Pelodiscus sinensis: one gene and its partner. The protein of the gene in region 1 interacts with the protein of each later gene in a pairwise test. Links are inferred from orthologs where the notes say so. Each region holds a gene or a part of one and is shown on either strand. Other genes may lie near its edges. The genes, in order: NEFL and SKIL.

Region 1 (16,235 bases):
AAAAGTTGAGAAACACTGGTCTCTACTACCTGTCTCCTGGCAAGCCCAGATAATTGGACCTCGCTCATCCAAACAACAGTTGTTCTTTGTGTTCAGGTTTAATTGCTGGAAGCAGACATGACCGAGACATCAATTTAATGGCTCTCAAGGACTAAAACCTAACCCTCTGTACCTGCAAGGGGGGATTTACCATCAGCTTGTGCGACCTGGTGGGGATCCTGACCCAAAATGAAAACAGATCGAATGACTCATCTCCTTAAGCCCTTATTGATGGAGCTTAGATGAAAGAAGCTGCGGGATCATTCCACTTGCTCTCAGGACCAGGTGGCAGGACAAATGCAGCAGCAAGAAATGAACACCATTGTCTTGCGCAAGATGGAAGTGGCCCTGACACGGGGCAGACTTACCACCACGGCGCCTCCTGCTGGTTGCTCTGGGAATTAGCTTGTTTGGGTGGCTGGATGCCTCCCTGTAGCTGGTGTCTCCCCTTGTATCTCTCCTACCTTGCCTCAGTGAGCCACTGCCAGTCTTCATCTCGCCCCTGCCTCAGGGGCAAACTGTAGTCGGGAACAGCCACTCCTCACTGGCAAAGGGGGGTGGACCTACTGTCCCTGCTTACCATGGCTGCCCCTCTCAACCCCAATAGCTTCAGGCCCTGCAGCCTGGGGGCTTGCTTAGCCAGAGCTCTGCCTTCCTTCTCCAGCACTGAACCTCCAGCTTCCCAGGCAGCCTGCTCCCCCAGCCAGCACAGTAGTCAGCTCTCTCTCTACTTCCTCCACCAAGTCCTTCTTTATACACCCCCCAGCTGGGCCCTCAGTAGCAGAACTGCCTCAGCTGGGGCTTCACTCTCAGCCCTCACTCAGGGCTGGGGTTTTGCCCTTAAAGGGCCAGTGCAAGGCAAACGCCCTGTCACAGACTCCAATAATAAAATAATGACAGCTGCTCGGTCACTGTGCAGCCAAAAGCAAGTAAGAACTCCATGGAACCGAACAAATACCTATGAGCAATTATGTCCTGCATAGCTATGTACTGTACAAGATGCGCCCCTCCCCCCCATCCTTCATTGCTTCCTATTGAAGGTTTATTTAGGAAGTTGAGTTTTTTTGTAAAAGGCAAGATCCATCCCTCGGTCCCAAGGAACAAACGGCATTAGAATTAAAGGTAGAAACATCTGAGCCCCTAGAACGGCTTCTCCAGTCTGGCGCCCGGCCGTGGCACATTGTGGGAGGTGGCCGTGGACAGCTGCTGCCCTTGGTGCTCTGGAGGGGAAGAGTGTGTCCCCAGGTTGTCTTCTGGGGCTTTTTAACCAGCGATACCTCTACGTAGGAGACACAAGGCCTGGGGGAGGGGAATCCTCTAGCCACAAGGTAAAATGCATCAGAGCATCGACCTGCAATCGTGCGCGTGGGGGCGATGGGCAGCGAGACAGGGCGTCACCCCCCGGTTCAGGTTACACCGTGTATGGCACCGTGGGAATGACACAACAGCACGTGGTGACGTTACATATGAAAACTGTGGGGCTTGAGTCTGCTCCATGGGGGGGTGCTTGTCCGGAGGGGAGAAGGGCAGCTGCAGGGAGGCGGCTGGGAAAGGCAGATTCGGGGGTCAGCCGAGCTTACGTTGCTGGTGTCAGATCTGATCAGATGCACCAGCCTCTGCTCTGCCACACCCTTCCCCGGCTCAGTCCCCCGCTCAACACCCTGCCCTGACACCTCCAAGGAGCCCTGCCTTCCGTCCAGTGGAGAGTGGCTGGCCCAGAAAGGAGCAGAGCCATTTCCATGAGCTTTTCACCATGAGCTTTTCACCATGGGCGGTGGCTGACCTCGTGGGTTGGGGGAGGCAAAACCCCCACCCTTGCCTCTTCTGCATAAAGCCTTGCCCCTGCCCACTGTGGCCACTGCTGGCCTCTGCCCAGCCTCACAATGGGGCTGTTATGTCCTGCTCCCTGCCCTAGGGTCGTGCCCCCAGACTGGGATATCCTGGCCGCGGCCTGTCCTGGCCCTAGAGCTCCAGAGGGCCAGCGAGCGGTACTGATGCAGCCTCTGCTGGTCCCAGGACTCCGGAGAGACGATGGGCAGCATGGCTGCAGCCTTGCCCAGACCCAGCGCTCCAGCGGGCAGTGTAGCCCCAGCCTCCCCTGGCCCCAGAGTGCTGGAGATAAGAGCCAGGAGGGACAGTCCCAGCCACCTCGTGCCGTGTCTGCTGGACTCCCAAGCAGAAAGCCCCCCCCACACGCTCTGGCACTGGGAGGAGGGGCGGTGTAGCCTGCCTGCCCCAGACTCAAGAGCAGGCTGGGGGAGGGAGTCTGAGGGACTCCGATGGAGCATAGGCAGGGCCAAGTGAGGCAGCTGGGGAAGGCAACGCCTCCCTCTGCCTATGATACCCGCCGCCCATGCTTTTCACCACCAGAGGGCTCACGGGCACAGCGGGTGTTCTCCGCTGGCTCTCTCAAGAACTGTGCTGCCCAAAGTGGCCATCACAAGCCAGAGAACCCGTTCGGTGCCTAAATCCCAGTGACTTCTACGAATGGGAAACGAGGCCTGCGGAAGGGGAATCTCCCGGCTGCAACATAAAATGCATCCGAGTGTGATGATGGCGAGGGGAAAGGCATCCCGATGGTCGAGCAGACACTGGATATATAACTGGATTCTATTGAGAGGCGGGTTTGCTGCCCACTCATGGCAGATGTTTCTTTCCAAGCAATCTCACTTGTTTTCGCCTAGGCAGAACTAGGAAGTGGCTGAGCAGCTGGTATCCCTTTGGCCCGAGAGTTATTTCCATAAAATTCAGAGCCAGGACTTTGGATTCTTTCCCTGGGAGTTTCATTTGCATGGAACTGGGAGACCCGTGATGAATGCATACAGCCGGGGTGCAGCCTCAGGTTTTTGCTGCAGCGGAGTCAAATGGAATCAATGCTAAACTGCTGGCTGACTCAGCATATCCTTATTGTTCAGGTTTCTTTCAAGTGAGCACTGACAAGGCAGACAGCTTTTCAGGAGAGGCAGCAGGAGCCCTTGCAAGCTAGCGGAGAGCCAATCCTCACTTCTCTGCCACTTTTAGGTTGCTTTGTTATTTATAGTAAAACATCAGGGTGTAGACCGGGGTGGGCAGTCATTTTTGACAGGGGAACACTCCAAACATTTGGAAAGTGGTTGAGGGCTGCACTCCTCCAGGATATTAATGGAGGGGGTGTGGGGGTCTGGGATGGAGGTTGGGTGCAGAAGGGAGTTTGGGATAAGGGAGGGAGCTTGCGTGAAAGAGGCAGTTGTGACCTGGGGCACTGGACTGGGGTGCAGGGGGTTGGATTGTGAGCTAGGGCAGGAGGGGACTGTGATCTGGGTCAGGGGATTAGGGTGCTGGATCTGGGAGGCAGTATGGGTACAGGAAGGGGGCAGAGGATTTGGGTATGTGGAGTAGGGGGGCAGGAGTAGGGGGTAGGAGGTTGAGGAAAGAGGGTGCCAGAGGCAGGGTCTGGCCAGGAGACTTACCAACCAGCAGCCTGTTCCTGAATCAGCCTCCCTAGCTGCCCTGCCTGACCTGACCCTGCACAGATGGCAGCCATGTGCTTCGTGAATAACTACCAGCCCCTTGTGCTTCGTGGCTGCCTGTTATTGAAACAGGCAGCTCCCACTGGCCAGTTTCTGGCCAGAAGCCGGCCAATGGGATTGTGCTGGTGGGTGGGAGCACCTCCTAAAGCTTCCCCCCATTCCCTCCTGGCTCAGTTTTTAAAGTGAAACTGCCCCGCAGCTGCATTTCTGAGCAGCGTGCAGGTTGGGCGAGGCAAACAGGGAGTCTGCCTGGGGCTCCCCGCAGCATCTGCAGGCCAGATACGGTGGCTTGGCAGGCCAGATCCAGCCCACAGGCCATATTTTGCTCAGGGATTTGTCTTGACTTGGGCAGGGGGCTGGACTTGATAACCTCCTGAGGTCTCTTCCAGCACTGGGATTCTATGATTCTAGACTCTGCTCTGGGAGAAAAAAACCGTAGGACAAAAAGGCAGAAAAAACAGCATGACCCTAATACGGAGTGGGCAGGTAATATGGCCGTGGTTCACCAGGGTTAGCCCCGGGTGGGCTGCCACTATATTTACCTGCATGTCTATAGATACCAGTGATTGCAGCTTGTAGCTCCCATTGGCTGAAGATTGCTGTTCCTGGCCAATGAGAATGGCAGGAAGTGGCATGGACTGGAACACTGCTCCCTGCAGCTCCCATTGGCCAGGAATGGTGATCTATGGCCAATGGGAGCTGCACTTGCCAGTACCTGTGGCCATGCAGGTAAATATAATGGTGGGGCCTGCCAGGAGTTAACCCTGGTGGACTGGATCCAGCCCGTGGGCCGGTATTTATCCATCTTTGCCCTAATATTTATGAGCTTCCAGGGGATGATGACTCCTTAAAGAGTGACTTTTGTTTGCTTTGTTCTTGTCCTGGCTAACAGTGTCCCCACTAAGCCACGCAGAAGCCCAGTGCTGCAGCTGGGATGCAGAGGTCTCGGTAGGGTCTGAGAGCTGGTCGACACAACACCTGACACCAGTTGTTGGGCTTTGTACACTTTTCATCTCCACCCGGGGACTCCTGAGGAGAGTGTTACATCCCCAGACTTGTAATCTACCATATATTTGAGAGAGTTTGTCAGTTTGTTTGTCTGTTTGTTCAAGAACTCCTCCTCAACGGTGAGAGCTAGGATCACCAAACTCAGTATCATCACTTAAAGCAACATAAGGATTTGGTTTGCCAGGAAAATGGAACGTGCCTGGAATGGGATTGCTTCTCATAAAGCCATGCAGAAAAAAGACAGAATCACCAAGCAGGTGAAAGGGGTTGGCTGGGGGTGTTTCCCACCCCATCTGGACCATCTTAGCCCTGAGCTTCCCTCCCTAGGCACTCTTCTGGGAAGGCTGGGGGGGGGGACCCCTTCCATTGGTATGGGGACATTGCTGACGGTTCCCCTTTGTCAGGGAGTGAGAGGAAAGTGCACTGCTTCCTGCATTCTCCACTTGCTGCATTCCCCACTCTGGCTGGGGAGCGCAGGGGCCGGACAATCTGTGCACTTTGCTCTTGTTCCCTGACAGGAAGGGGAAGAGCAAGCAGCCTTGGTACAAATCGCAGGGTGGGTGTTGTGAGGGTGGAGGGAGGAGAAATCCCTCCTACACACTGTGACGTAGTGGGGGGTACTTGCTGGGATGTGGTGACCCCTGCTGTCTGGAGCAAGACCCAGCAGGGAAAGCCTCACTAGGCAGAGGTAATGCCAAACTTGTTGAACCAGTGGCCAGACACCCCCCATGGAGAGGAACAAAGGAAGGTGGAATGCTGCCCTGGCTTGGGGGGCAGGGCTGGAAGAGGGTTTTTTAGTTCCTCGCTGGAAGGCAGGGTATAAGGAGCTGGGGAGGGGGCTGGGACTCCCCTATCTCAAAGGGGGGGCACTGAGGCCTCTTAGCCCCAGTTCCTGTAACCAGATTACATCTGTGCTGCGCTGTGCTGGAGGAGCAATAAACCACCCTCAATTCCACTGGCTGGTGCAGTCTGTTTGTGCCATTTCGGGGTGCAGGAGACGGGGAACCCCCAACGCGCCGTCACACACACACAACCCTACAGCCCTTTTCCCTGAGCCCCTCCTTAAGGACCCAAGCAACACCGGGTAAATGTGCTCTCCTATATAAGGACCAGTTATTGTTGTTATCACAAATCCTATTTCCCTCACATCTAAAACTCTGATATTATTAAAATAGTAAATAAAACAGTCATAAAAACTAGAGGGCCAGTTCTTCACATAGCACACAAGAAAATAAGAACATAAGAACAGTCAGACTGGGTCAGACCAAAGGTCCATCCAGCCCAGTATCCTGCCTGCCCACAGTGGCCAATGCCCCAGAGGGAGGGAACACAACAGGTAATCCTCATGTGATCCCTCCTCTGCCACCCATTTCCAGACAAATTAAGAACGGCTACGCTGTCACAACCAGAGCCGTCCTGTCCATGGGACAGCTGCTGCCCCAATGTTTTGGGGGACCCCATGGGGCCCAAAGAGGCTCCGACCATTAGTGGGGAGCCAGATCTTGCAAGCAGGGGTTGGGCTGGTTCACAACCTCAGTGGTGGAAGGATTGAAGGGAAGGGCTGGAACTGCCCCCCGCATTTACCAGCAGCAGGAAGCAGAGTAACGCAGCTAGGGGCTGGCAGAGCAAAGCAGGTTGGGTCTGGGTCCTTCCACTTTTCCACTCCGCTACCGGTGGGGTGTTTGTGTGTGGACCCACCCCCTCACTGGTCCTCACTTGGAGGAAGAGGGCTTGGAGGAAACAGGAATGTGGTCAAGAGTGAAGATCTGAGTCAGCCAGCAGTTTAGCATTTGTTCCATTTGCATTTCCCCCCAAATGTCTTTGCAGGCTGCACAACCCACTCATGCAGGAATCAGGGAGGTGCAGCCATTTTCATGGCATAGATTGGGGACTTAACAAAACCCCTGCATCCTGAATTAATTATTGTCATTGACATTGACTGTCCACTGCATGTGTTAGCTCTAGAGTTCACAGTCCTTAAGCTGCAGTGGAGTGACCACAATAATTTTCTCAGTGAAAAGTAAAATGTTGCAGGTACAGAGAGGCAAATGTAAAATATTTGCAGCTAGTATAAATTAGTATAATTCTGTTGTTATCAAAGGAACGACACTGATTTACACCAGGTGAGCAGCATGTTTACCATGAAGGACCTAGTTATCAGGCTGTAGTTTCTGTATCATTAACATAGTTCAATAGTTATAATTGCATATTGCATATTGCATATAATTGCATATTGCATACAAAGGAACTGCAGTTAAACACCTGTGGCTGTCCCGGTTCAGCTCTTGGGCATTTGAAGGGTGTGGATTGTGGGATTGTATAATTGCTGTGTAGACTTTGTAATATTTTAAATGTAAACACAGCCTCTGCGAACCAGTCCCCCCCAAGCTAATGGGAAAGAAATCCTGATCCATCTTTTCTAGAAGATAAAGGCATTCAGAAAACAGTATTTGCCTGTCTTCTGTGTGCCTAGATGCCACTACAACTGGTTGAGATATTTCACAGCTGTTATACCCATTATTTCTCTTCCTTTGTAAAGCAATTAAACAGTTTCAGTGTCTGCTGCTAATGAATGTGGACCAAATCCTGCAGTTTTATTTGGTTTTTACTCAGACAAAGCTTTTATTGAATAGCTAATTTTTTTGTCATTCTGATCCAGACACTATGATTGTGTTCAAGCAATTTGTGAAACTTGGACTGTTTGCTGCTTTTATTCTTTCCATCTCTTCATGTCTTACCCTTCCTGCAAAGTGATCAGGGCATAAAGGTGATTTTGTTTTCACTAACCAACAGTAAGTCCTTCAGAACAGCCTGGGGAAAAGTTTGAAATCCAAAGCAGCTGTCCAGTGGCTTTAATAGCCCTATGACATTCCTTTCAATCCGGTGCTACAAGTTGCCAGATTCATTTACCTATCTATGGCTCAAACAGGCTCACTCCATGCAAACTTTATGGGTCAAAAGCAGAAATATTCAGATAGATGGATAGCTTTACAGATATGTGTGTGTTGGTGTATTACATGGTGATAGGCAACAAGCTAACCCACTTTCCCCCCCCCCTGAATTCATATCACTGGTTGGTGTAAAAAAGGATGTAACAAATATTACAGAAGAGAAATGCTGGAAAGGAAAAGAAAGCTAGAGTTCAACAGCATGTCTGTTAGATGGATTATGATAAAACGCAAATTAAATTACAGAATACTGAATCAGATTCATATGCCAGGATTGTCAAAGGCAAATAAAAGAGTTAGGTACCTAATTGTCATTGTACTCCAAATGGGGTCGGGCAGGAGACTAATGGAGTCAGATGCCCAATCCATACTCAGGGTGTGTGTTTGTGTATAGACACTTTGTGCTAGCTGTATTCTCATTATATTACCAGGGTACCCTTGTGTTACTGCAGGGTCATAGGAGACTGACTACCTGGGAGGGAGGGGATATGCAAAGTGCTCTGATGGACTGGGAGGAAAGCAAAGGGCTGGGGGGAGGGGTACTGATGAGTGGTAAAGGGAAATGAGGGGGTGACATGGAAGTAGGTACTGGGCAGATTCAAGGAGCTGATGGGACGGATTGGGGTGAAAGGCCTTGGTGTAGCAGGAGCTGATGGGATGGTGGGTGACACAGGTAAACTGGGGGAGCGGGTCAGGGTGGAATGAGATTGGGTGGAAGAACTGAAGGGATGAGAGAAGGGTGGGGACGAGCTGTTGGGATGGGGGAGAAGGGAGTTGACTGAGTGGGGGTAGTTTGAAAGGAGTTCATGGAGATGGGGTCAAGGGGTAGTTGGGGCCAGGCTTGGGAGGGGGTGTGACAAGCTGTGGGCTGGTAGGAGACACAGGAGCTGCTGTAGGGGGATGGGCTTGACAGAGGTGATGGGGGCTGCTATGGGAGGGTGGGATGAAGGGGGAAAATGGGTGCTGCTGTGGGGGATGGGCATGAAAGGTAAGGTGGGAAGGAGGGGGCAGTATGAGCTGCAGAGGGTGGGTTGGGGGAATGGCAGCCGCTGTGCCTATGGAGCTGAAGGAGGGGTGGGGCGTGGAGACTGGGGCAGGCAATAGGAGCTGAAGGGGGTGCAGAGGGAGCTGAGGTGGGTGCTGGGGCCATGTGGGAGGGTGGGGATGAAGGGGCAGTAGCAGCTGCTGCGCGGGAATAGGGGGCAATGGGAGCTGCGGTGAAGGAAGGGGTGGGAGTTGCGGAGGGGACATGGGGATGGAGGGGAGGGCAACAGGAGTTGCTGGGGGCATTGAGAGCGGCTGAAGGGCTGGGCGATAGGAGTCGTGGTGGGTGCATGGGGGCTGGGGCGGGCGACAGGAGCTGCTGCGGGCGGGGGTGGGCGCTAGGCTGCGGGGGGAGTTGCCCTGGGAGGGGGCGGGGGGCGCTAGGCTGCGGGCGGTGGAGGTTGCTTTGGGAGGGGGCGCTGCGCTGCGGGAGAGGGCTGGGGGGGGGCGTTGCTGCGCTACGCTGCTCTGCGGGCAGGGGCTGCGCGCACGCGGCTGGAGGGAGTCGCTGCCGGCGGGCCGGCGCTGGGTGCAGCCGGGCGGGGAGGGAGGCGGCGCCCGGCCCTTCCCTTTGCGCAGCGCCCGGCCCGCTCTTGGCCTCTCCCCGCCGCTGCGTCAGCGGGCCGGGCTCCTCGCGCGGCTACAAAAGCGGCGGGCGGGCGGCGGGCGGGCGCAGAGCAGCGGCCTCTCCTCCCGCGGCGCCATGAGCTCCTTCGGCTACGACCCCTTCTTCCCCGCCTACAAGCGGCGCTACGCCGAGAGCCCCCGGCTGCACACGGCCACCACGGCGCGCAGCTCCAGCAGCGGCGGCGGCTACGGCCTGGCGCGCTCCAGCTACTCCAGCCTCTCCGCGCCCCTCTCCGCCGTGTCGGTGCGGCGCAGCTATGTCTCCTCGTCCGCCTCGGGCTCGCTGGGGCTGTCCTCGCTGGAGAGCATGGACCTGGGCCAGGTGGCGGCCATGAGCAACGACCTCAAGTCCATCCGCAGCCAGGAGAAGGCGCAGCTGCAGGACCTCAACGACCGCTTCGCCTGCTTCATCGAGCGGGTGCACGAGCTGGAGCAGCAGAACAAGGTGCTGGAGGCCGAGCTGCTGGTGCTGCGGCAGAAGCACGCGGAGCCCTCCCGCTTCCGCGCCCTCTACGAGCAGGAGATCCGCGAGCTGCGCCTGGCGGCCGAGGAGGCCAGCAGCGAGAAGCAGGCGCTGCAGAGCGAGCGGGAGAGCCTGGAGGAGACGCTGCGCGGGCTGCAGGCGCGCTACGAGGAGGAGATCCTGAGCCGGGAGGATGCCGAGGGCCGGCTGCTGGAGGCGCGCAAGGGGGCCGACGAGGCGGCGCTGGCGCGGGCCGAGCTGGAGAAGCGCATCGACAGCCTGCTGGACGAGCTGGCCTTCCTCAAGAAGGTGCACGAGGAGGAGCTGGCCGAGCTGCAGGCGCAGATCCAGTACGCGCACCTCTCGGTGGAGATGGACGTGTCGGCCAAGCCCGACCTCTCGGCCGCGCTGCGCGACATCCGGGCGCAGTACGAGAAGCTGGCGGCGCGCAACATGCAGAACGCCGAGGAGTGGTTCCGCAGCCGCTTCACCGTGCTCACCGAGAGCGCCGCCAAGAACACCGACGCCGTGCGCGCCGCCAAGGACGAGATCTCCGAGAGCCGCCGCCTGCTCAAGGCCAAGACGCTGGAGATCGAGGCCACCCGCGGCATGAACGAGGCGCTGGAGAGGCAGCTGCAGGAGCTGGAGGAAAAGCAGAACGCCGACATCGGCTCCCTGCAGGTGAGCGCCCCGGGAGTGGGCAGCAGGCGGGGTGGGTGAAGGGGAACCGTCTGACCCAGGTCACGGCGAGCGGCAGAGCCAGCAGGATATCCAGGCGGGCACCTCCTGGAATCGTCCCCAGAACCCGGCCAGGGAGCTGTCCAGCACTGGGCGGGGAGGGGGTCTGACCTACGCCCAGCCAGGGAGCTGTCCAGCACTGGGCGGGGAGGGGGTCTGACCTACGCCCAGCCAGGGAGCTGTCCAGCACTGGGCGGGGAGGGGGTCTGACCTACGCCCAGCCAGGGAGCTGTCCAGCACTGGGCGGGGAGGGGGTCTGACCTACGCCCAGCCAGGGAGCTGTCCAGCAGTGGGCGGGGAGGGGGTCTGACCTACGCCCAGCCAGGGAGCTGTCCAGCAGTGGGCGGGGAGGGGGTCTGACCGCCGCCCAGCCAGGGAGCTGTCCAGCACTGGGCGGGGAGGGGGTCTGACCTACGCCCAGCCAGGGAGCTGTCCAGCACTGGGCGGGGAGGGGGGTCTGACCTACGCCCAGCCAGGGAGCTGTCCAGCACTGGGCGGGGAGGGGGGTCTGACCTACGCCCAGCCAGGCAGCTGTCCAGCACTGGGCGGGGAGGGGGGGTCTGACCTACGCCCAGCCAGGGAGCTGTCCAGCACTGGGCGGGGAGGGGGTCTGACCTACGCCCAGCCAGGGAGCTGTCCAGCACTGGGTGGGAAGGGGGGTCTGACCTACGCCCAGCCAGGGAGCTGTTCTTCACGGCGGGATTCTTACCATGGCCCAGCCAGTACCCAGGCGGGCACCCCCAGGGATCGTGCCCAGCACCCCTACAGGGAGCTGTCCAGCACTGGGGGGAGGGGAGGGGAGGCGACTCTTACCGCCGCCTAGCCAGGGAGCTGTCCAGCATCTGCTTATGTAATGCGTACTGCAGTCCTACCTCTAGCCTGGGAGCTGTCCAGCACAGTGGGGTATTGCAGCCGCCTAGCCAGGGAGCTGTCCAGGTACGGTGCAGAACCCCCCAGAGCCTAAACCTGCTCCAAAGCCCAGTCAAGTCAGTGGACGCGCTGGAATGGTGTCCCACATGAGATTTGGATCAGTCTCTGCTCAGGGGACTGACCCAGCAGTCTTCTAGGCAGGTAAGTGCCTGCTTGCTTTGCAGGAAACCCCAGAATATCAGCAGCGCTTCTTTGCAAATAAATGCAAAATGTGTGAGGTCCTCAGCGTGAGGTCCTCAGCTCTATAGGAGAAAGTGACAAAAGATTTGCATTAAGTAGGATGCATATTAATTAAAAGAATTGTTGTAAAGGGTGAAGTTAAAATCCAGTGCCTAGCAGATAAGAACTCAGACACCCAATAAATAGTCACCACAGCAATAAAGGCTAGCAATTAAAAAGGTGCTATTGGTTATAATGAATACTTCGCAATGTTTATGACAAAACACAGTGAGCTGCATTTGTTCCAATGGTGCTTAATGCAGCACTAATTACATGACTACAATTAAAAAGTTATAATGCCTGGCATATTCATTTGACTGAATATCAGATTACAGTGATATTAACAGGATTAATATTCATTGGATTGTATTATTTATGAATTGTATATTGCTATTAATAAAATATGAATGAGCTGTATTAGTTCTAATGCATGTTAGGTGATTACATTTTAAAGGATTTAATTAATCCGTTAATGAAAAATGAATGAAATTAATTAAGAAGGTATGATAGAGAATACAAAAGGATGAAAGAATAAAAGATTAAGAAAAATACAAAAATTTCAGGAATAATTTAGCTCTTGAATCACTTATTACTGCATGTAAAATCTTATGGCTCTTACTCAAGCAAAATTCTTCATCAGCACCTGTCAGGATCCAGAATATTCTGATTATTATGTAGTCCTGGCTTCAGTGCTGAGGGCCAGAATGAAATTCCTACTGAGGATCCTTCCAATTTATGATTTAAGTTAACTGGTAGTTTTACTTTAGTATGTGATTCAAGAAGGCCATTCTCTCCTTTAGCAACCACTTCATTAGGAACTATCTAGTCTGATGTAGAAAAACATCTATTGCTTCCTTGATGGGAAAGGATGGAACTGGTGTAGATAAACATTTCTGCAGATGCAGGGAATGGGCTCCAAATCTAATGGACCATATCTTTAGCTGGTGTGAATCAATGTAGCAACCCCTGGGAACCCAGTAGATACCATCTAAGGATCTAGCCCATTGTGTTTATTGGCATAAAGTCCCATGAATTAAAGAAAAATGGCATTAGACTAAAATGTAAAATAATATTTATTGAAGTATTGTAGCTTCACGACATTACTTGCTTTATGATGTTGATGTTTAGCATTTCTCCTAAAAATGGTGGGGACTAAAATAAATGCTGGCAGCTGTTTGGGAGAAATAAGGGAAAATCAGAACCACTGCAGATGTCAAAACCATTAAATGAAATGGAGTCATAGATGTTAGACATGGGAAAACCCTACAAGGTAATGTGGCACTTAATGTAAATATTAACTTTATATTTGAGGGTAGATGTGGGGTCTATTAAACACATCCCATTGATGCAGCAGAATTTACATTAATAGGTTAGTAACATTGTTTCCAAGCCATCATTGCTGTGCACAAGGGGAACTAAGAATTTTATGTTGCTGAATATTCTCATTCCCAACAGGACACAATTAATAAATTAGAAAATGAACTGAGAACCACAAAGAGTGAGATGGCCCGTTATTTGAAAGAATATCAAGACCTTCTCAATGTGAAAATGGCTCTGGATATTGAAATTGCAGCATACAGGTATGATGGAAAAAGTGTTAAGTGAATCAGAAATTTTCTCTTGTAGCTGGAGAAATTCCGTTTTATTTTTCATCTCTCTCTCAATCTTTAAACCTTTTAGACAAATCTTTTGTGAGAATTATAGCTGCTGACTAGGTTAGTTATTGATAGACTAATGTGTCAGAGAGAGAAGAATTATTAGGTCATTTTCTCCACTCTTGTCACTGTAGTGGCAGCTTTCCTATAGAATTCTATTTTATTCTTCAGTGTTTCATTAACTACCCCCTTATCACTCTCACAGGAAAAAAAAAAGCCAACCAAAGATGATTTGAAGGCAAAACATTTGCTTCAATACGAAGTCTGAATTTAGTAGTATGCTTAGATTTGTTGAATACAAAAAAGCTTGTTAGAACTATCAAAGCCTATTTAAAACAATAAATACAAATGTTGGGATTATCAAAAGTGCCTAAGTGAGTTAGGTGCACAGATCCCACTAAAAATTACTTTTAAAAGGCTAACGCTAATGTTTGCGAAAAAGCTTACTGCGCTATCATTATTTTGTTTGACCCTCAGCATTGATGGAAACTGCAAACAGAAAGCTAAGATTATTGACTATTTGCAGCTGACTGTTGAGGCAGGAGAATATTTTTTTGTAATATAAAACTGCTTGGTATATTTATTAAATGTGGACTCCTAGGAACAAAAGAAGGTCAATTTGGTGGATGTTCCTTCTCTATGTAGCCCTGCAGAGTAACAGGACACAATTATCTTCCATTCTAGTTGTGGTGATGTTATTTTAATGCTGTTTTTCCTTCGTACCCTCTCAAAAAGATCTTTACCTCCAGTGATGCTCACCAGTGTATAATTGCCACTGGACAGTTGACTATTGTAGACTAAAAGTGTGGAAGATGGTAATTTCTTTCAGACAGGGACCATCTTTGTGTTCTGTGTTTGTACAGCCACTTGACCCACCCATGATTAGGGCTTTTAAGCAGGACTGGAGGACAAGCAATAATTAATTGTTTCTTTTTCCTCCTAGAAAACTATTGGAAGGGGAAGAGACACGGCTTAGCTTCACCGGTGTTGGAAGCATAACTAGCGGCTACACTCAAAGTGCCCCAGTCTTTGGCAGGTCTGCCTACAGCGGTTTACAGAGCAGCTCCTACTTGATGTCAGCCCGTTCCTTCCCTGCTTACTACTCCAGTCACGTCCAGGAAGAACAGATAGAAGTAGAGGAGACGATCGAGGCAGCAAAAATTGAAGTGGCCAAAGAAGCACCCCCTTCAGAAGGCGAGGAGGAGGAGGAGAAGCAGGAGGCTGAGGAAGAGGAGGGAGGAGAAGAAGCTGAGGAAGAAGGTACTTTTGATTTCTTTTGAATTCACCTCTACTTATGTGAGGCCTCAATCTGCAAATCTTTGTTAATAGAAACATGCCTAAGTCAAGCGCATAGACCCATTGGCTTAAATGGGGGCTAGTCACAGAAGTAAAGGGTTGCTGGGCTGACCCTGTGATGCATGTGTGGGAAAACCTAGGTATAATGTAAAGGCTGAGCTCAGATAAATATTGACTGTTCAACACATGATGGGGCCAATACAGCTTCCTTGGCAGTCAATGGGAGTTTTGCAGTTGGCTTTCAAAGGAAGAGCATCGGGATCATGATAATAGAAAGTGCTATTGGCAAATTCTCTAGCCAATAAATACCTAATTTAACATTTATACACATTCCTGAAAGCAACAGGAACATCTTGAACTAAATATGAATTCCCAGAGAATATCTTGAACCAGATCTGCAGCTGGCATAGATCACTACTATTGACACCAGCTGGGATTCTTGCCTGTTATTTTCACTGCCCTCCTTCCACCAAAGTACTTTTGTCCATTAATTGCTTTACTAAACGTGTACATCTTTAAAGAAACATTTCAAACCAATTATTCTCTAGAGCATCCTTCCCTAGTTCCTATTGCAATATTTTTATCCTGTCCTTGAACTTGAGAATCTTCATTCTCTTTTTGATGCTATAACCATTCTCAGGCAGCATACTCTAATATACTAAGCTATAGATGGTAAACTCTTAACTGGCTAAACAGCAGGAAAAAGAATTCAACAGGCGCATATTAATGATCCTGATTAATCCTTGAGGGAGGATTTCAGCCACACATCTGAAAGCAAATTTGTTTTTATGTAAATAGTTTTCTAAGATCCACTTAGTAGAAAAGTTCATCTGTAAGTTAATGGTGATTCACTAGACAATGAACTCAAGGGTTCATCCAAAGTTCACTGAAGTCAGTGAACGGATACCTTTTGACTTCAGTGGGCTTTGGGTTAGGGCTTAAAAAGAGTTGCCAATCAGTTGTTGTTATTGTTTAATGCAGGGGTTTCAAAGAAGCCTAGAGAAGCTAAGTACCCAAGACCCTTTGAAATGCAATATGATTTGGTGCCTAATTCCCTTAGTTCTTGAAAGACTTAGCCTAAATAAATACATCCTACATTCATATACATTTATGATGGCACCAAAGTTAATTTTTGCTCACACTAAAATCAGTAGAGGTGACCATAGCTCAGCAACTCTACATGCATGATGCGAAATGCTTATTGCTGCTCAATTTTTAAAGGTGCCAAGGAGGAATCTGAGGAAGCCAAAGAGGGTGAGGAGGAGGAAGGAGGAGAAGAGGAGGAAGCAGAAGAAGGAGAGGAATCCCAGGAGGTTGCTGAGGAAGCTGAAGATGGGGAGAAGAAAGAAGAGGCAGCAGGAAAGGAAGAGAAAAAAGAGGAGAAGAAGAAAGATTGATTTAGACTGCGTGTTGGTTTCCCAATCAGGTCACAAAACAACCCTCAAATCTATTGAGCTAAAAATGTCGCACCATGTATTTAATTCAGAGACAATTTAGGTTTCAAGTTCTCTGTTTTCCTCTATGCACAGTATCCGTATGCTTGCAGAGTGCCTATTGGCTTGCTTCCAGAGTATGCATGGTGTTTACTTATCGGTTCGGGAGTTATGTTCAATTTGGATGATTCAGAACCTTAAAATGAAAAATATTAAGTCACACGGGAGACAAAATATGTTTAAACTAAATTCAAAATAGTTATGGAAACCTTGAGTGGTTATAGTAATGAAGGCTTCAGTAAAGTATGTGCGATAAAGCTAGACAA
Region 2 (16,104 bases), on another chromosome or scaffold:
TTTACATAAAACAAATGCTTGCAGGCTCATTTCTTTAAAAAAAATTGCTTACTTTTATCAAGTTTTTGGCATATAGAATAAAGAAATGCATTTATATTTGTATTATGGTAGCATCTAGGACATCAGTCAAGGATCTGAAGACCACTTGGTAGATACTAGACAAAACTCAAATCCAGTCTTTACATGTGAAGTCCTTCATCAGAAGCATATTGTAAATGGAGGATGCAGAAAGACAGGGACAAGAAGCAATGAGGCTTAAACTTCAGCAAGGGAGGTTTAGGCCAGACATTAGGTAAAACTTCCTAACTGTCAGAGTGGTTAAACACTGCAATAAATTGCCCAGGGAGGTTGTGGAATCTCCATCTCTGGAGATATTTAAGAGCAGGTTAGACATCTATCAGGGATGGTGTACAACAGCAATGCTCAACCTTTTTTAATTGGCAACCCCCAAGGCCAGAAAAATTTTGGTTGAGGAAAACCCCCCCACACTCATTTTGTTGTGACCCCCTTTAATTTAAAGCACCAGTCCGCTCCCCTGCCACTCCCCCCCCCGCCGCATATGTCAGGAAAACAAAATGGTGGCTGGCCCAGCGCTGCGACCCCCCAGGAAGACAGCCGCGACCCCCACGGGTTGTGCACCACTGGTCTAGACAGTACTGGGTCCTGCCATGAGGGCAGGGGACTGGACTCAACCTCTCGAGCTCCCTTCCAGTTCTAGTGTTCTATGAGGGGTGAGGTGATGAGAGGAATAAGCTACTAAAATGACCGTAGCAGCATTCTGAATGGACTATAGGGAGATCAAAACAGGTATAGGTGAGAAGATGTCTGCAGCAGTCAAGGCGAGAGATAAGGAGATTACAGTGATCTGGCCAAGAGTTTAAGAAGCCTGGATAGACAGGGAAGGTTGAATCTTTTATCTGGTACATAAGTTGCAAGATTAGACTCTGCCTAAACACATGGGTCCGGAGACATGGCTGTAATGACAATTAGGCTACATGGGCCTTGGTGGAAAGAAAGGATATAAAGGTTTGGGGGAGATACCAACTCAATTTTGCCAATAAGTTTAATTTACATATGAACAGAAGAGCAGCCATACAAAGTCAGACTAGCCCAGTGGCCTATCTCTGACATTCATCAGTGCCTGATGCTTCTGGCAGATGGAGATTTAGGGACACCAGGAGCACAGAGCTGCATTCTTGGCCATCTTGCTAATAGCCACTGATGGACCTTTTCTCCATTAACTTATCTAATTCTTTTTTGAACCATTAAATACTTTTGGACAACATCACATAACAATGAGTTCTACAGACTGACTTTACAATATGTGAAGAAATATTTCCTTTGTTTTAAATTGTATTAATTTAATTGGGTGACCCCACATTCTTGGTTTATGTGAAAGGGTAAAAAAGCACTTCCTTAGTTACTTTCTCCATACTATTCATAATTTTATAGACTGCTATGATATGTCTCCTTAGTAGTCACTTTTCTATGATGAAAGTCCCAGTCTTTTTACTCCCCCCTCATATGAAAACTATTCTACACCTCTAATCATTTTCATTACTCTTCTCTGAATTTTTTCTACTTCTACTCTTTTTTGAGATGGGGGACCAAACAGCATTCAGAATATAAGGAGTTGGTGTAGTGGCTTTATGGCAGTTTCTGTCTTAGTATCTATCCCTCTCCTAAAATTCTATTGGTTTTTTTTGACTACCACTGCACACTTGGCAGACATTTTCAAGGACCTATCCATAATGAGTGGTAACAGCTAATTTAGAACTCAACATTTTGTATGTATAGCTAGGATTATTTTTTGCAATGTGCATTACTTTGCATTTATCAACACTGAATTTCTTCCACCATTTTGCCACCCAGTTTAATGAGATTTCTTTGTAATTCTTCAGTCTGCTTCTGACTTACTGATCTTGAATAATTTTGTATCACCTGCAAATTTTGCCACTTTCCTTTTCCACATCATTTATGCTTGGTCCCAATATATATATTTTGAAGGACTCTGCTATTTACCCTTTCCATCAGTGTAGCAAGTATATATGCTATAGCATCATACCTGCTGTACAGCAGCTGCACTACTGTAGCATTTGTAGTGTATACATGCCTTTACAGAGATCATTAGAGACTTTATGAGTGCAGTTTCAATGGAATGAAGAATGTGGAAACTGTATTGAGTCTTAAGAGCCTCCTGATTTCTTAATATGGCAGGGGAGGCAAAAGAGGGGTGCTGATGTCAGGGTGTCCCCCTCTCACTCTGTATCCTCTCTCACCAGAGCACAGAGGGGGCACAACAGGATTTTGGATGGAAGGAGTTTGCTGGCTGGTTTTGGGAATGAGAAAAGCCAGGGCAGGGGTTAGTCTGCTTTAGCCCCACTGCACAACCACCCAGGAACCACCTGAGGTAAGCAGTGCCCAGCTGGAGCCCGCATCCTGAAACCCTACTCCAGTCATGAACCGCCCTCCTACATCCCAAGCTCCTGTTTTAATCCCGAGTTCTCCTGCATCCAAACACTCTCCCAGAGATTAAACCTAGAACCCCCTCCGGTACTCCAACTGCCTTCCCCAAGCTCAGCTCAGAGCCTCTCTCACACTCCAAATCACTTAATCCAAAACCAAAGTCTGACCCTGACCCTCTTCCCCAGCCTGGTGAAAGTGAGGGAGGATAGGAGAGGGAGGATGGATTAAGCAGGGCTGGAGCCTCTGAGAAGGCGCACAAAGGAGATGGGGCAACAGTATTTGGGTTTGAGGTAGATCTCGTACTGTACTGAAATTCAAAAAGTGATCTTGTGCTTTAAAAGGTTGGAGACCACTGCTGTATTGTTAAGAATCAAGAACTGAGCTGAATGAGAGTCAATACATCAGCTGTAGACAGACAGCTCAGTTAACTTGGAGTTGAAGGGCAAAAAGGGAAATAATTTTGGTGAAACAGTTGAGGATAAGGTGGTTTGTTTTTTTTAATTTTTTTTTAAAGATAAATGAGATCAAAGATTACTTGTACTGTGAGAGGAGTGAATCTGGAGAGTGAAATGTTCAGAAGAAAGGTGAGGCAGCTCTGGGTCTGAAGGAGTTTGATTTCATTACTTTGAATTCTTTTTTCACTAATTTTTTTTAACTTGAGTTTATGTTGTTTTCCTGTTCTGCAGGTGCACTGTTTCATTATCTTTTGTTTCCCTTTAGCAGCAAAAAATTGAAGTGGGCCAGTGCAAAGTTATAAAATTGTATTTATCAATCTATTCCATGTCCTCTATTGAGGGGCAAGTTTCTGCAAATGCAAACATGGAAAAAACAAGACAAACTAAATATTGCCTCTACTGCTCTTAGACTTGCTCTGGGCTGGAGGGTTTCATGGACTGGACAGAGCAGAGACCACCTGAACATCATCCTTGTTATTTTGGGGGTCTGCATTTAACCAGATTGACAGAGTCAGAGCTTTAGGCTTTAAAATGGTCATGGAGGGGTAGAAAGCACAGAGGGATTGCACAGAAATAATATTTGTACTTTTGGAGCTGCTATACAAGTGTGTAGCACAGAAATGATAGAGCAATATTGTAGTTAATCGTTCTAGGAGCAAGCACACCACCAATTATACTAAGAACACCAGTGTAAAGTTGGTTAATTATATATGCTTCAGGATTGCTAAAATGTCAAAAATCTCTATTGGGCCAAATAATAACTATCACACCACTGTTGTAAAGTGGACAGCCCCTAGGTCCCTGCACTGATGCTTCCCAGGACTTGATTCTAAGGGTGACAACTACCTGTGATATTCATAGCTAGCTGCTGCTCCCACTGAAACTGATGGCAAAACTTGCATCCACTGTAATGGGTGTGTGATCAGGTCTGTAGCTTGCAAGTGGACTGGTAAATGCTTCAAAGAACACAAGGTAGCAACAGGAAAAGGGAAGCATTCACAAACCTCAAAGATTAAACTCTCCCTACAGAGAAATTAATACTTCCACACAAACATACTGACTCTGGTTCAGGTACCAATCACTTGCCCTCACTTCTCTAACTCTCTTGTAACCCGCTTCTTCAAGCACTAATAATTCCTTCCCTACAGCTGTTTAATATTTGGCTAATATGTGTCTTATTATTCAGATTATAAGCTCTTTATGGCACAAACTACCATTTTTATGAAGCATCATATACGCTGTGTCTACACTGGCAAGTTATTCTGGAAAATCAGCCGCTTTTCTGGAAAAACTTGCCAGCTGTCTACACTGGCCGCTTGAATTTCCGGAAAAGCACTGACGATCTAATGTAAAATCATCCGTGCTTTTCTGGAAAAACTATGCTGCTCCTGTTCGGGCAAAAGTCTTTTTCCAGAAAACTGTTCCGGAAAAGGGCCAGTGTAGACAGCACAGTAGTGTTTTCCGCAAAAAAGCCCTAATTGTGAAAATGACGATCAGGGCCACGGATGCTTTTCCGGAAAAAGTGCTTTTGCGGAAAAGCATCCTTCCAATCTAGACGCGTTTTTCCGAAAATGCTTTTAACGGAAAACTTTTCCATTAAAAGCATTTCCGGAAAATCATGCCAGTGTAGATGTAGCCATAGACTTAGAGCACTACTTTTTTGTAATAAAAATATGCCATCCCAACAGTATCGCAAGATGTCAACAAAGAATTCTTAGCTTGCTTAAAGAACCTCTTATGGCATATCTATATTATATATAATCAATGCAATAAAAAAACCCAAACATTACCAAAACTTTCCATTTTTAAATAATATCTTATCAATGCACCATTACCTTAATTGAAAGACTATGGCATGCTATTGGGTGCTTGGCAAGCTAATTGGATATTCGCCATGGATATAGTTAAACTTGCTTTAACTGACCAATACAGAATTAAAGCTGAAGCTCCATTCTTAGGCTCCTTCCTGCTTTGCTTACACATGGCAACATACACTACATATAATATCACACAAAAGTGGCAGATCAAATGAGAGGACAGTATTTCCATAAGGATACTAAAGTCCCTGGTTTTTGCCAGTTTAAAGAAAAAAGGAACCTAGTTTTTTAGTCTAAAATTTTTTTTTGCAAGTTTTGTACCACCATAAAAACCCCAAACAAGAAAGGAATTTTCATTATTGCTTTGTATTATGTGTTGAAGCTTTATAGTAGACTCAGCTTATGCTTAGCTTAATACCTGTTCACATTGATAAAACTGAATACTTTTAAAATAAATTTCATTTTTGATTCAGAAATTTTTCAATAGTCAAACTTACTTTGGATTGTGTTCTTTTCTGATTTTTCATGCTAAACTTCTCCTTCATTTCCTCCAAAAGATGCTTCAGTTCTCTCTCTTCTGAAGTGCCTAAATATTTTTGGTTAACATGAAGATAACAATGCCATTTGGCTGATTCAAAGCCCCAGTGGCAGGTCCTCTTGTCAGGAGATCTATGTGAATGCATCACAAATGTCTGGGGTGAAAACATTCCATAGCACTCCAAACACTGAATACATGGAGCATCCGGCTGAATGTAAAATTGAGGTGCAAACAAACCCTGGCACTTGCCCAAGCACTCATGCTCTACCTCAAAGGCTCTGCCAGTCTCTTTCAGTTGGACCAATGTGTTTTTTGCAGGAAGCAGAGTGCCATTTTGAGGAAAAGTGCGAGGACGCAGTAAAGCATTGCATAGTCTTTGAGCATCAGTCAGTGTGATCAACCCACAGGATGGGGCATTAAATGGAAGGATTCCCAAAACCTTTAGGATATGAAGCTGGTCAGAAGTGCACCTCGAGCAGTATATATACAGTTCATCACACACTGTATTAATTTGCTGTAGTGAAAAATCTCGGAGCACTGAATTCAATACTTGAGGCAGACAGAGTCTCTTTTCCCCTCCAACTTTAAAACAAGAAATAGATTCTCCCTCCAATACAGTCTGAGTGAGCTCTGTAGAACTGTCTGAAGGAATGAGCAATGGGCTAGGAAGTATCTGTGGTGATGGAAGAGGCACAAAGACAGTGGGTGACATGCTTTCCTGGGAATAACGAGCTGAAAAAGCTGCTGGCCCACCCAGTGAACTCTGGCTGCTTAAATGGAACTGTGCCAATGTGTGTTTCAAACCAGGATTTAAATTCAAAGGCTCAGATATTGTAGTACTGTTTGGTTTGGCATTTTCTCCATCAGACTCCATGGGAGTTTCTTCATATTCATCCACATTTTCCTTTTTTATCGTTGGCAATTTATTTACTACAGCTTGTACTTTGCTATTTACATGCTTTTCTGTCATTATTTTTTTTACTGGTGGACTGCCATCTTCTTGGATCCCACACTCTTTTTGGTCAGAACCTGCACTTACAGGGAAATTTGTTTGTGGACTTTCCATCACTGAACCTCAGAATTTTAAATAAATAGGTTTGAAATGTGCATTTTTCTAGTATGTGTTTAATTTGTATTTCTTAAAGACACGCCAATTTCCAAGTACTTTAATTATCTCCTGTCCAGCAGATATTGTGCTATCTCCTTAAAGTGAGGATTTAATCTCACCTCAAGAGCTAAAAATGTAACCTATTTTTCATGTAGCATAAAATTCAAGGGTGGAAGGGTTAAGCAAGAGTTTTCTTTTGCACTTAAATATATGTGTTCAGTTCTTATATTAAAAAAAAAATCTGATTTTCATCAAATTTTTCTTTTAAAAAACATGCTGACTTTTCACTTCATATATGCTTCCATTTAAGTATTAAAATACAAAATCACTTGTTCTCAGACTGAGCAGCACTGGCGTTAATGCAATTCTTCCAAAAGATAATTTTAGTTGTGGGCATGCTTTATGCAGCACATCCCTTTCAACTCACAGGATCGAACACAGAGCTTAGTCACTTTATTTATTGTGCAGCCAAGTTTAAATCACACCTCCAGTGGTGGAGAAATGTATTATGGTAAATCTCTGTTAAGTCCACAAATTAAAGGCTGATCCAGGGTTGCTGGTAGAAACCAAACATCCCTGTAGAATAAGCATCAGTAAAAATTTCCCTAGCATCTGTCAGTTTTCCTATCTCAACTTATTGGCAATGAAAATAAGATCCAGGCCATATACGAGATTCATAGTTTGGACTAATAATACAAATCTCTGGCAATCCTTTTATATAACCTGTAAAAAAAGGAAAAAAATCAGTAATCATTCACATGTGAAGAGTAATACCTTTATCTAAAACAGTCCCTGAATCTTGAAATGTATTCAATATATCACAACTGGAATATGCTCCCTAAATAACTAACTCTTAACTAATTTGCAGAAAGCTTGGATTTAGATATCATAAACCCTATTATGACACATGCATAAACCTGGCACCAGCAGCATCAACATAACTCATTGAGAGTGCTGCAAACATGTGGCAAAGGAGACACATGGGGGAAATCACCTAATCCTTCACCCCATTCAATGCTTTGCAAACTCCAGGGACAGAATCCAGGAAAAAAAGTGTGTGGGGGGTTGTACTTTCAGAGATTGCAGGGCAAGAAAAGGATAAGGGGACAAACTAGCCCCCATTTCCTTGAATATATAACTGAAATTAAAGTATTTCTCCTAACTTCAATCTTCACACTTTTTACAGTTAGTGCAGTTCAAATAAATTCAACATACAGGTAATTAAAACTGAAAACAACCTAGACTCTTTCCCAAACCAGACACTAGGCAACACCCCTACTGCTATCTCTGAGCCAACCTCAGTCTATACGCATGTATTCTTCCAAAGCTCACTCGTTATATTCTCCCTGAAACTAAGGTCCTCCCTCTCCCGTGCTTTCCTCACACAGCGGCCCTCCCTGGAATAACCCCGACATTCACCACCATCCTGTCTCTCTCACACTCCACCCAGACTATGCCCCCCCCCCCCGTGACTCACCTCCACCTCAGTCACACTCAAGCATTACGCACGCTCTGATCGGACAGGACTCCGCCACATACAGGACTTACCCTTCCTCCTTCCACAGACACTCCAAATACTGAAGTGATCCCTCATTCAAACCTACCACTGACTCTTCCACCCCCCCCCCCACCCACACCCCGCCAATTCTCGCGTAGCCCCCGGTTCCCACTGCTCCCTGGCACCGACCCGCAACACAACTTCTCCTCGGACCAATCCACACACACATACACGCTCCCTACCCCCCCCCCCCCCAGGCTCCCCCTCCCCCACACACCCTACCACCCAGCTCTTCACATCACCCCAGGGGACACACACAGCCCACGCGCCTCCCGACCGGAAACAATTCCCTTCCTTCAGAGACTCCCCACATTACCCCCCCCCCGCTTGTGGGGTCACCCTCCCCCACAACGCCCCCCCCTTCCACTAAGCTCCATCCCCCACAGACAGTCCCCCAGCTGGGGAATACTGCTCCCTCCCACACAGACGCCTCTGGACTAACCCCTCCCCCCGCACAGACACTCTGCCCCCGCAGACAATCAGCCCCCCCCCCCCCCGTCTCCTCCCTGGATTTGTCCCCTTCCCCCCACAGACACTCCTACCCCTCTCATGAATAGCCTCCCCTCCCCCTCGCCGCCGCGCACGCTCTCCGTACCCCCCGCTGCACCGCCCCGCCGGCAGCAGGCCCCGGCTCCTCACCCTGCATCGTGGGGACCCCGACACCCCAACAGTGGAACAGAAGCCGCGCACGCACCGCCCACCCGTGACCTCACTGCGGAGACGGCGGCGCGCGGGCACCAACCCGGCGGGTGCGCGCCCCCGCCTCCAGCCCCGCCCACTGTCTGGGGTAGCGCCGCGGCGGCTGCCAGCGGCTTCCCCTCCCCCCAGGCACAGCGAAAGCTGGTGTCGCGTCGGGGGCGGAACCTCGCCTTCCTCCCCACACGGCGCCTCCCCCCCCCCCCCCGCCCGGACAGAGCCAGGCACGGAAGCGGGTCTACACATGACCTGCTCCTTCAGCCCCCCCTTCGGTCATTGACCCCAGGGGCCCCCACCCCTATGCAGCTTCCCCCCCCCCCCCACGATCCCATAGCGACCCCATCTTTGCCCCATGCTCCCTAACGCCAGGAGAGCCCCAGCCAGGTGCCTTCCACATAGACCATCCCCCACAGCGGCTCTCCACATTACACCAGCTGCGTCTTGCCTTACAACTCCCAACGAGCCCCCTTTTCCACAGCAAGCCCTGCCCCACTGACCCCCTCTTCCCACAGAGAAGCTCTGAGACCCACCTCAAAGCTATCCCGCTTCTCAGCCAGCCCTGCATCCACACGCAGGGGCCAGTGTGTCCCTTCCTCCTTGTGTTGGCCTCCAGAGTCAGTCTGTACAAAGGCCCCCATTGTGTCACACAAAGCTGATTCCTGCTTCACCATAGTGACTCTCCCCCTCCAGGGGTGAAAGTAACTTACATTTTTAGAGGTACTCTTTTATTGCCCCCCGGGGGGGGAGATCAGGGCAGGGGTGCAATATGACAGTATCCTTTAGAGAGGGCAGGAGGTGAGGGGGTGTGAGGCCCACCCCATTCCTATCCACACTGCTCCTTGCTGTTCCTTTAAGGGAGGGGAAAGCACACAGCATGTGTCACTCACTCCTTTGCCTCCTTCTCCTCCCCAGCCAGGAGGGACAGGAATGCAGCTGGATACTTGCTTCCTGGGAATCGTCTATACGGTAGCATTCCAAAATAACAAAGAGCACGTCTGCACTACAAACCTTTATTTCACAATAATGTCAAGCTGAGAACTTCTTACTCCAACTCCTGTAACCCTCATTTTAGGAGGAGTAAGGGAAGTTGAAGAAAGAGTGTTATTCCTTCAACTTCCTGCTATGGAGACAGCGCCTAAAGTTGAGTTAAGCTATTTTGACTTAAACTACACAGTTGACGTAGCTGAAGTTACATAGCTTAAGTCGACATTAGCCATGCTGTATAGACATACCCTGAGAGTGAGGGAAGTAGAACAAAGCCCCTGCCCTGTCCCTAAAGGGTGCAGAAAGGGAGGGTTTTCTGGTTTCCTGCTGCTTACTATAGCAATCTAAAGGAGAGCCAGGGGAACCCAGCTGGACATGCACCCTCCAGTCCAGCAGCCCAGACAGCTTTTTCTGGAGCAGAGCACTGAGGTACACCGCCTTACTTTCACCTCTGCTCCCCACCCAGCAAACTTCCCTTGAACTCCTAAACAAAGCCCATCTCCCTCTCCACTGCTCATGGCGACCTCTCTGATACCCTTCCAGGGCCCTCCACCAAAAAGACTGCCCTCCTTCCCAAACATGTACAATGCAAAACCCCCTTTCCTCCATTTTGAGACAAAGATGGAGACCTGGGTGAAGGGTTGGAATCTGGGGGTGTTATAGCTGGGGTAAAGGAGAGAAGAGACAACACACTTCCCACCCTGCCAGCCCCCTGCCACCAGCCCCAGCTGGGGCTGCATTCCTCACTCCAACAGCCCCACTGCCAGCTGTCCCAACCCCGCTGCTAGCTCACCACTGCACCAGCCTGGGCTGTGCTCCCAGCGACCCGCCTGGCAAGGGCTCCTGACCACCAAACCTGCTGCCGCTGGTCAGGGCTTTGCTCCTGACCCTGGCTGCCTTTGCTCCCAGATGCGCTGTTTGGTCCAACAATATCCATGTCCTACCAGACCAGAAAGCACAGGATTTCAGAGGTTCAACCTGTACAAACAACCAAAAGAGGAAGAGGAGGTGGATGAGGATTTTTATAAACAACTAACAAAATGATACAAAGCACAGGACTTGGTGGTGATGGTGGACTTTAACTACGTAGACATCTATTGGGAAAATAACACAGGAGAGCATAGATTATCCAACCAAATTCTTGGACTGTATTGGAGACAATTATTATTACACAAAGTGGAGAAAGCCACAAAGGGAGACGTTCTAGATTTGATTTTCACAAATAATGAAGTATTTATAGAGAATTTTAAAGTGGAAGGCAACTTGGGTGAAAGCAATCATGAAATGATAGCATTCATGATTATAAGGAATGATAAAAGGGAAAACATCACCATAAAGAAAATGGATTTCAAGAAAGCAGACTTATAGCAAAATCAGGGATTGGTAGGTAAGATCCATTGGGAAGCAAGTTTAACAGGGGAAAAAAGTTGAAGTCAGTTGGTAGTTTTTCAAAGAGATATTGTTAGGGGCACACGAACAAATTATAGGAAAGATAGGAAGTACAGAAAGAGACTGTCTTGGCTTAACCAGAAGATATTCAGTTAACTGAAACTCAATAAAAGAATCCCACAAACGGTGAAAACTAGGTCATAGAATCAAAGAATCATAGGGTTGGAAGAGACCTCAGGAGGTCATCAAGTCCAAACCCAAATAGACTCTACACCACCAGAAATAAAACCTGTTTCCATCTTTTGTGACTTTCAGTTAGATGTGACTCACTATCCTCTGCTTAGTGTTCAAGTTATGGTAGACCCTAAGCCAGGTCATATTAAGTTCAGGTCTTTAATCTTTTAATCATACAATATGGATAACAACATTTCATTCTCCCAGCTCCAAGTCTTAAGTGAATTTCAACCCAAAAGAGCCAGAATTGATCACCTTGACACAGGTGGACTGTGTCTACACTGGCAAGTTTTTCCGGAAAATCAGCCGCTTTTCTGGAAAAACTTGCCAGCTGTCTACACTGGCTGCTTGATTTTCTGGAAAAGCAATGACGATCTACTGTAAGAAATCAGCCGCTTTTCCAGAAAAGCTTTGCCGCTCCCGTTCGGGCAAAAGTCCTTTTTCCGGAAAACTGTTCCGGAAAAGGGCCAGTGTAGACAGCTAGCTACCGCTTTTCCGAAAAAACAGAAGAAACGGAAAAAAGCGGTTTGGACGCCTGGAGACCCCGTAGGAGCCCTGGACTTCCTGGTAACCCAAGCTCTTAAAGCAGTCGCAGGCTGCTGAGCGCACGTGGCAGAAGCGGGCCTCAGGCCTGCCACTGAGCTCTGCCACAGCGCCCCTGTCCTGCCCAGCCAAGCCTCACAAGCCAGCCATGGCAGCTCCTGGTGGTGAGCCCCCTGCACTCCCAGCTCAGGAGGCCCCCAGAGGCCGCAAAAGGCGGGCTCCCTCTGGACCCCCAGGGAGCTGGAGATCCTCCTGGACCTCTGGCAGGAGGAGGATGGTCTCCATGACATCCGGTCCTGGCGCCGGAATGTCGACATCTTTGTCCGGATGGCCGAGGCTCTGACCCAACAGGGATACCCTGCCCGGAACAGCGAGCGAATCCAGGCAAAAGTTAAGGAGCTCCAGCTGGGGTACGTGCGGGCCAGCAAGGGCAGGGGGGCAGGACCAGACACCTGCCCCCATTACGACTGGCTGCATGCCATCCTTGGGCAGCCAGCCCTGCAAGGCCCGGACGTGCCCGTGGACACCTGCCAGCGCCCCCCCCCCCGTCATCCGAAACACTGAGGCAGGGGAAGGAGAGAACAGTGGTGGCGCTTCAGGAGAGGAGGCCAGCGTTGCCATCCAGCAGGCCCCCTCCAGCAGCTCCTCCTCCGGGGAAGGATCCACTGGTGAGTCTTTGCAGTTTGCACTCACAAGGGCGGAGGGCGGAGGGCGGGGGGGGGGGGGGGGGGGGCGAGAGCCAGGCACCTGGAGTGGGGAGGGGGAGAGCATGCCACTCAGGCCACGTGAGTTGCATGCTGTGTAGCATTAGGCAGCAAGCAGCACGTGCAACCACATGCAGCCTGGTGACCAAGCAGCACGTGGCCGCAGCAGGCAGCTGCAGGGCACGCCTAGGACTGTGCTGCTCACACACATTCGGCGAGACCAGGGGAAAGGGTGGATGCCAGCTGGAATCAGCCAAGGCCCCAGGGACTCAGCCCAGAGCCCTCACCTCCGCCAAGGGTGCAGCACAGAGAACTGCACACTGTCCCATGCCTGGCTGTGAGGCACAGCCAGCTGCTCTTGGGTACACCGCAGCATCACAGTCCTGTGAGCGTGGCCCCCACCGAGCCCCTCACTTGCTCCCGGTGCCTTGGCTGACTCCCCGAGGGAAGTCCCCACTGTGGCTACACATGTCCCTGGGCTACCGGGGTTGTGGGAGGGATAGTGGGAGGGAGAAGGCCCGCCCTGAGTTTTGCTGCAAGGATGGGACACCCCCTTTCCCCAGTCACTCTTCTGGTTCCGCCCAGGAGATATCCCACACGATGGGATCTGAGAGCCCAGACCACCTCTGCCAGATGTGCTCCCAGGCACTGTGTGGGGATGCATCTCGCTCCCTGTCAAACACCAGTGATTAGCCCAAAGCTTCAGTCTCCACCAGCAGGGAGTTCCACAGGTGAACGCAACACAAGCACCCTCCCGCCCTCCACGGGGCCAGGACACAGACCGGTGGTTACAATACTGGAGGAGGGCCCTACTCCAGGGGCGGTCCTCCTTGCAAACATACAACACAGGGGGCAGGAGGGGAACCAAGTGGGCCCAAGCCACACAACTGTGGGGTCACCTGGGCTCAGGGGTGGAGGGCATGAGGTGTGGGGGGGGTGGAGGGCCTGCCTGACTGACCCATCCTTTCTTCTCTTCCCTACAGCGGGACCGAACACAAGACCCTCCAGTCCAGCAGCAGAGGCACCCCCAGCTGGCCAACCCCGGAGGCGCTGGCTCCGACACCAGGACCAGCTGCTTCGCCGCCACATTGTAGCGGTGGAGGCAATCCAGGCCTCCATTCGCGAGCGTGTGCAGGGGGACCTGCAGTGGCGGCAGGCGGCCTGGGGTGCCTTCCAGGCACAGTGTACAAGGATGGCCGACTACATGGCCATCCTCACTACACACTTTGTGCACGCCGTACATTATAGCATGGCTGTACCCCATGCCCCCTCCTGCCCCTGCAATGGCCCCTGCTCCTATCCCAGCTCCTGCCCCTGCTCCTGCCCACCTCCCTGTGCGGCCTGCCCCGCATGTGCAGGTCTGCCCCCGAAGGAACGCTCGCAGGGGCCACCCGTCCCAGTAGCTCCTCCCCCTCCCCGTCCCAGTTGAAGGTCTCCTCCCCCTCCCCCTTGTAAATAAAAAGTCTATTTTTCAGTTGATTCTTGTGTGGTTATTGTGTTACTCGAGGTAACTGTAAGAAATGCTTTGAGATGCCAATTAGCCACCTAAATTTAAAAGGGTTACAAACTGTGGACACCAAATTCTGTATTCTGTCACCGGGGGTCCTTTTTAAGTGGCCATTGGTTTGTGGTTCATAAATAAATACTGAGACTTTTCAGTAAAATTTAAACCACAAACTATATTTAACACAGATAACAAACAAGCAAGAAAGGTTAAAAGACGCACACTAAAGATTATGTAAACATAGTCTAGGCGCAGGGAGGATGATTGGTAGTGTTGCTGGCAAACTCAATCCTTTGGTCCTTCCGGGCCTTGGGAGAGGAACAGCCAGGAGATCCCTCAAAGATGACTGGAATCAGGTACGCTGACTTGAGCCTTCCGCACGAACCCTGAATCCTCTTCCCTGTTCTTCGGGACAGGCAATGGTGGCCTAAACCCTAGCCTAAACTAAAAAGAAAAACCCTAACTACGTCCGACGCACCCGACGAACAATCACGATGACGGCCGATGTGCTTGGAACCAACGCTTTACAATTGGGGGGAGATAAGGGGAGGGGGTGGAGAAGAGTATGGGATGGGAGGGAGTCGTCTGGGGAGACCCAGGTGACCCTACTACGGGGCTTGGGCGAACATGTCCACCAGGGCCTCTCTGATGCGCACCCCATCCTGGCGCACCTGGTGGACGGCAGCTGTGTGGGGCTGTGCGAACGTCTGTGCCTCGGCTGCCATCCATGCAGGGAGGAATGCCTCCCCACAGCGCTCCACAATGTTGTGGAGCACGCAGCACACAGCCAGTATCTCTGTTGCATTCTGCTCAACCATCTCGAGACAGGTGAGCAAACAACAGAAGTGGGCTTTCAAACGTCCGAGGGTGAGCTCCACCGGATTTCGGGCCCGGTTGAGGCGGTCATTGAACCGTGCCCAGTTCTGGTCCAGCCGCCCCGTGTAGGGCCGCATTAGCCAGGGCAGCAGGGGGTAGGCTGCATCCCCGATGACGCAGATGGGCATAGGCACATCCCCGACATTCAAGTCCCACCGGGGGAAGTAGGTGCCCGCCTCCAACCTGCGAAAGAGTCCGGAGTTGCGGAGGATGCGGGCGTCGTGTGCCCAGCCAGACCAGCCCCCGTAGATGTCCAGGAAGCGGCCCCGGTGGACCACGAGAGCCTGCAGAACAATGAAGCAGTAGCCCTTCCGGTTCATGAAATGGGCTGCTCGATGCTCTGGGGCCCGGACGGGGATATGGGTTGCGTCCAGGGCTCCCCCACAGTTGGGGAACCCAAGGGCAGCAAAGCCAGCCATGGTAGCATCCATGTCGCGCAGGCGGATGACTCTTGGGAGCAGGACGTCGTTGATGGCGTGGACAACCTGTAGAAGGGTGCAGAGAAACACAAGGGAACACATGACATACGGCAGGGGTGAGTGTGCGCTCCCTTAGCCCCCCCCTTGATTCCCTCTGTCCTCACGCACGTGCGCACACACACACACACCCCACGGCCCACCCCCACCCCCACCAGCGGGCCTGTGCAAGGGAGGGACGGCCCAAACCCCTGGAGTCTTGGCTGCCCCTGGGCATGGAGTGCTGCACCCTCCCCCCACCCCACGACCCCTGGGACTTACCTCCACGACGATCACACTGACGGTTGATCTTCCCACCCCGAATTACTGTGCCACCAAGCAGTAGCTGTCCGGTGTGGCCAGCTTCCACAGTGCGATGGCGACCCTCTTGTTAATGGGGATAGGTGCCCTCAGCCGGGTGGTGGATCTCTGTAGCGCGGGGGTGAGCCAGGCGCACAGCTGCAGGAAGGTCTGCTTTCTCATGCGGAAATTCCGGAGCCATTGCTGGTCGTCCCATTGTCCGAGGACCAGCCGGTCCCACCAGTCGGTGCTGGTGTCCAAACTCCAGACTGGCCTCTCCACGGTGGGGTGCTGATGCCACAGGGCCACCAGGGCCTCCTGGGTGAGTGAGTTGAACGCGATCTCTGCCTCCTGGTTCTGGAACACAAGAGCACCGGCCTGCAACACGAGCTGCAGGCACTTGCACAGCTCCAACAGGGGCCCGAGCAGGCACATGGCCACCCACGACTCCATGGCAGACAGAGCAGGGCAGAAGAA

The links.
Region 2: the proteins of NEFL (region 1) and SKIL interact in binary tests that used the Homo sapiens proteins (3 or more experiments, as listed by UniProt). The link is inferred for Pelodiscus sinensis from reciprocal best matches to the Homo sapiens genes NEFL and SKIL.

The regions. Positions count from the first base shown.
Region 1 is NC_134738.1:9,665,761-9,681,995, forward strand, and holds the start of NEFL (neurofilament light polypeptide), read left to right. Parts: upstream 1-8,988; 5' UTR 8,989-9,251; coding exon 9,252-10,319; intron 10,320-12,980; coding exon 12,981-13,105; intron 13,106-14,123; coding exon 14,124-14,440; intron 14,441-15,697; coding exon 15,698-15,873; 3' UTR 15,874-16,235. UniProt on the Homo sapiens protein: Neurofilaments usually contain three intermediate filament proteins: NEFL, NEFM, and NEFH which are involved in the maintenance of neuronal caliber.
Region 2 is NC_134720.1:38,846,609-38,862,712, reverse strand, and holds the start of SKIL (ski-like protein), read right to left. Parts: upstream 8,724-16,104; 5' UTR 8,582-8,723; intron 7,999-8,581; exon of another isoform or gene 7,933-7,998; intron 7,108-7,932; 5' UTR 6,343-7,107; coding exon 5,236-6,342; intron 1-5,235. UniProt on the Homo sapiens protein: May have regulatory role in cell division or differentiation in response to extracellular signals.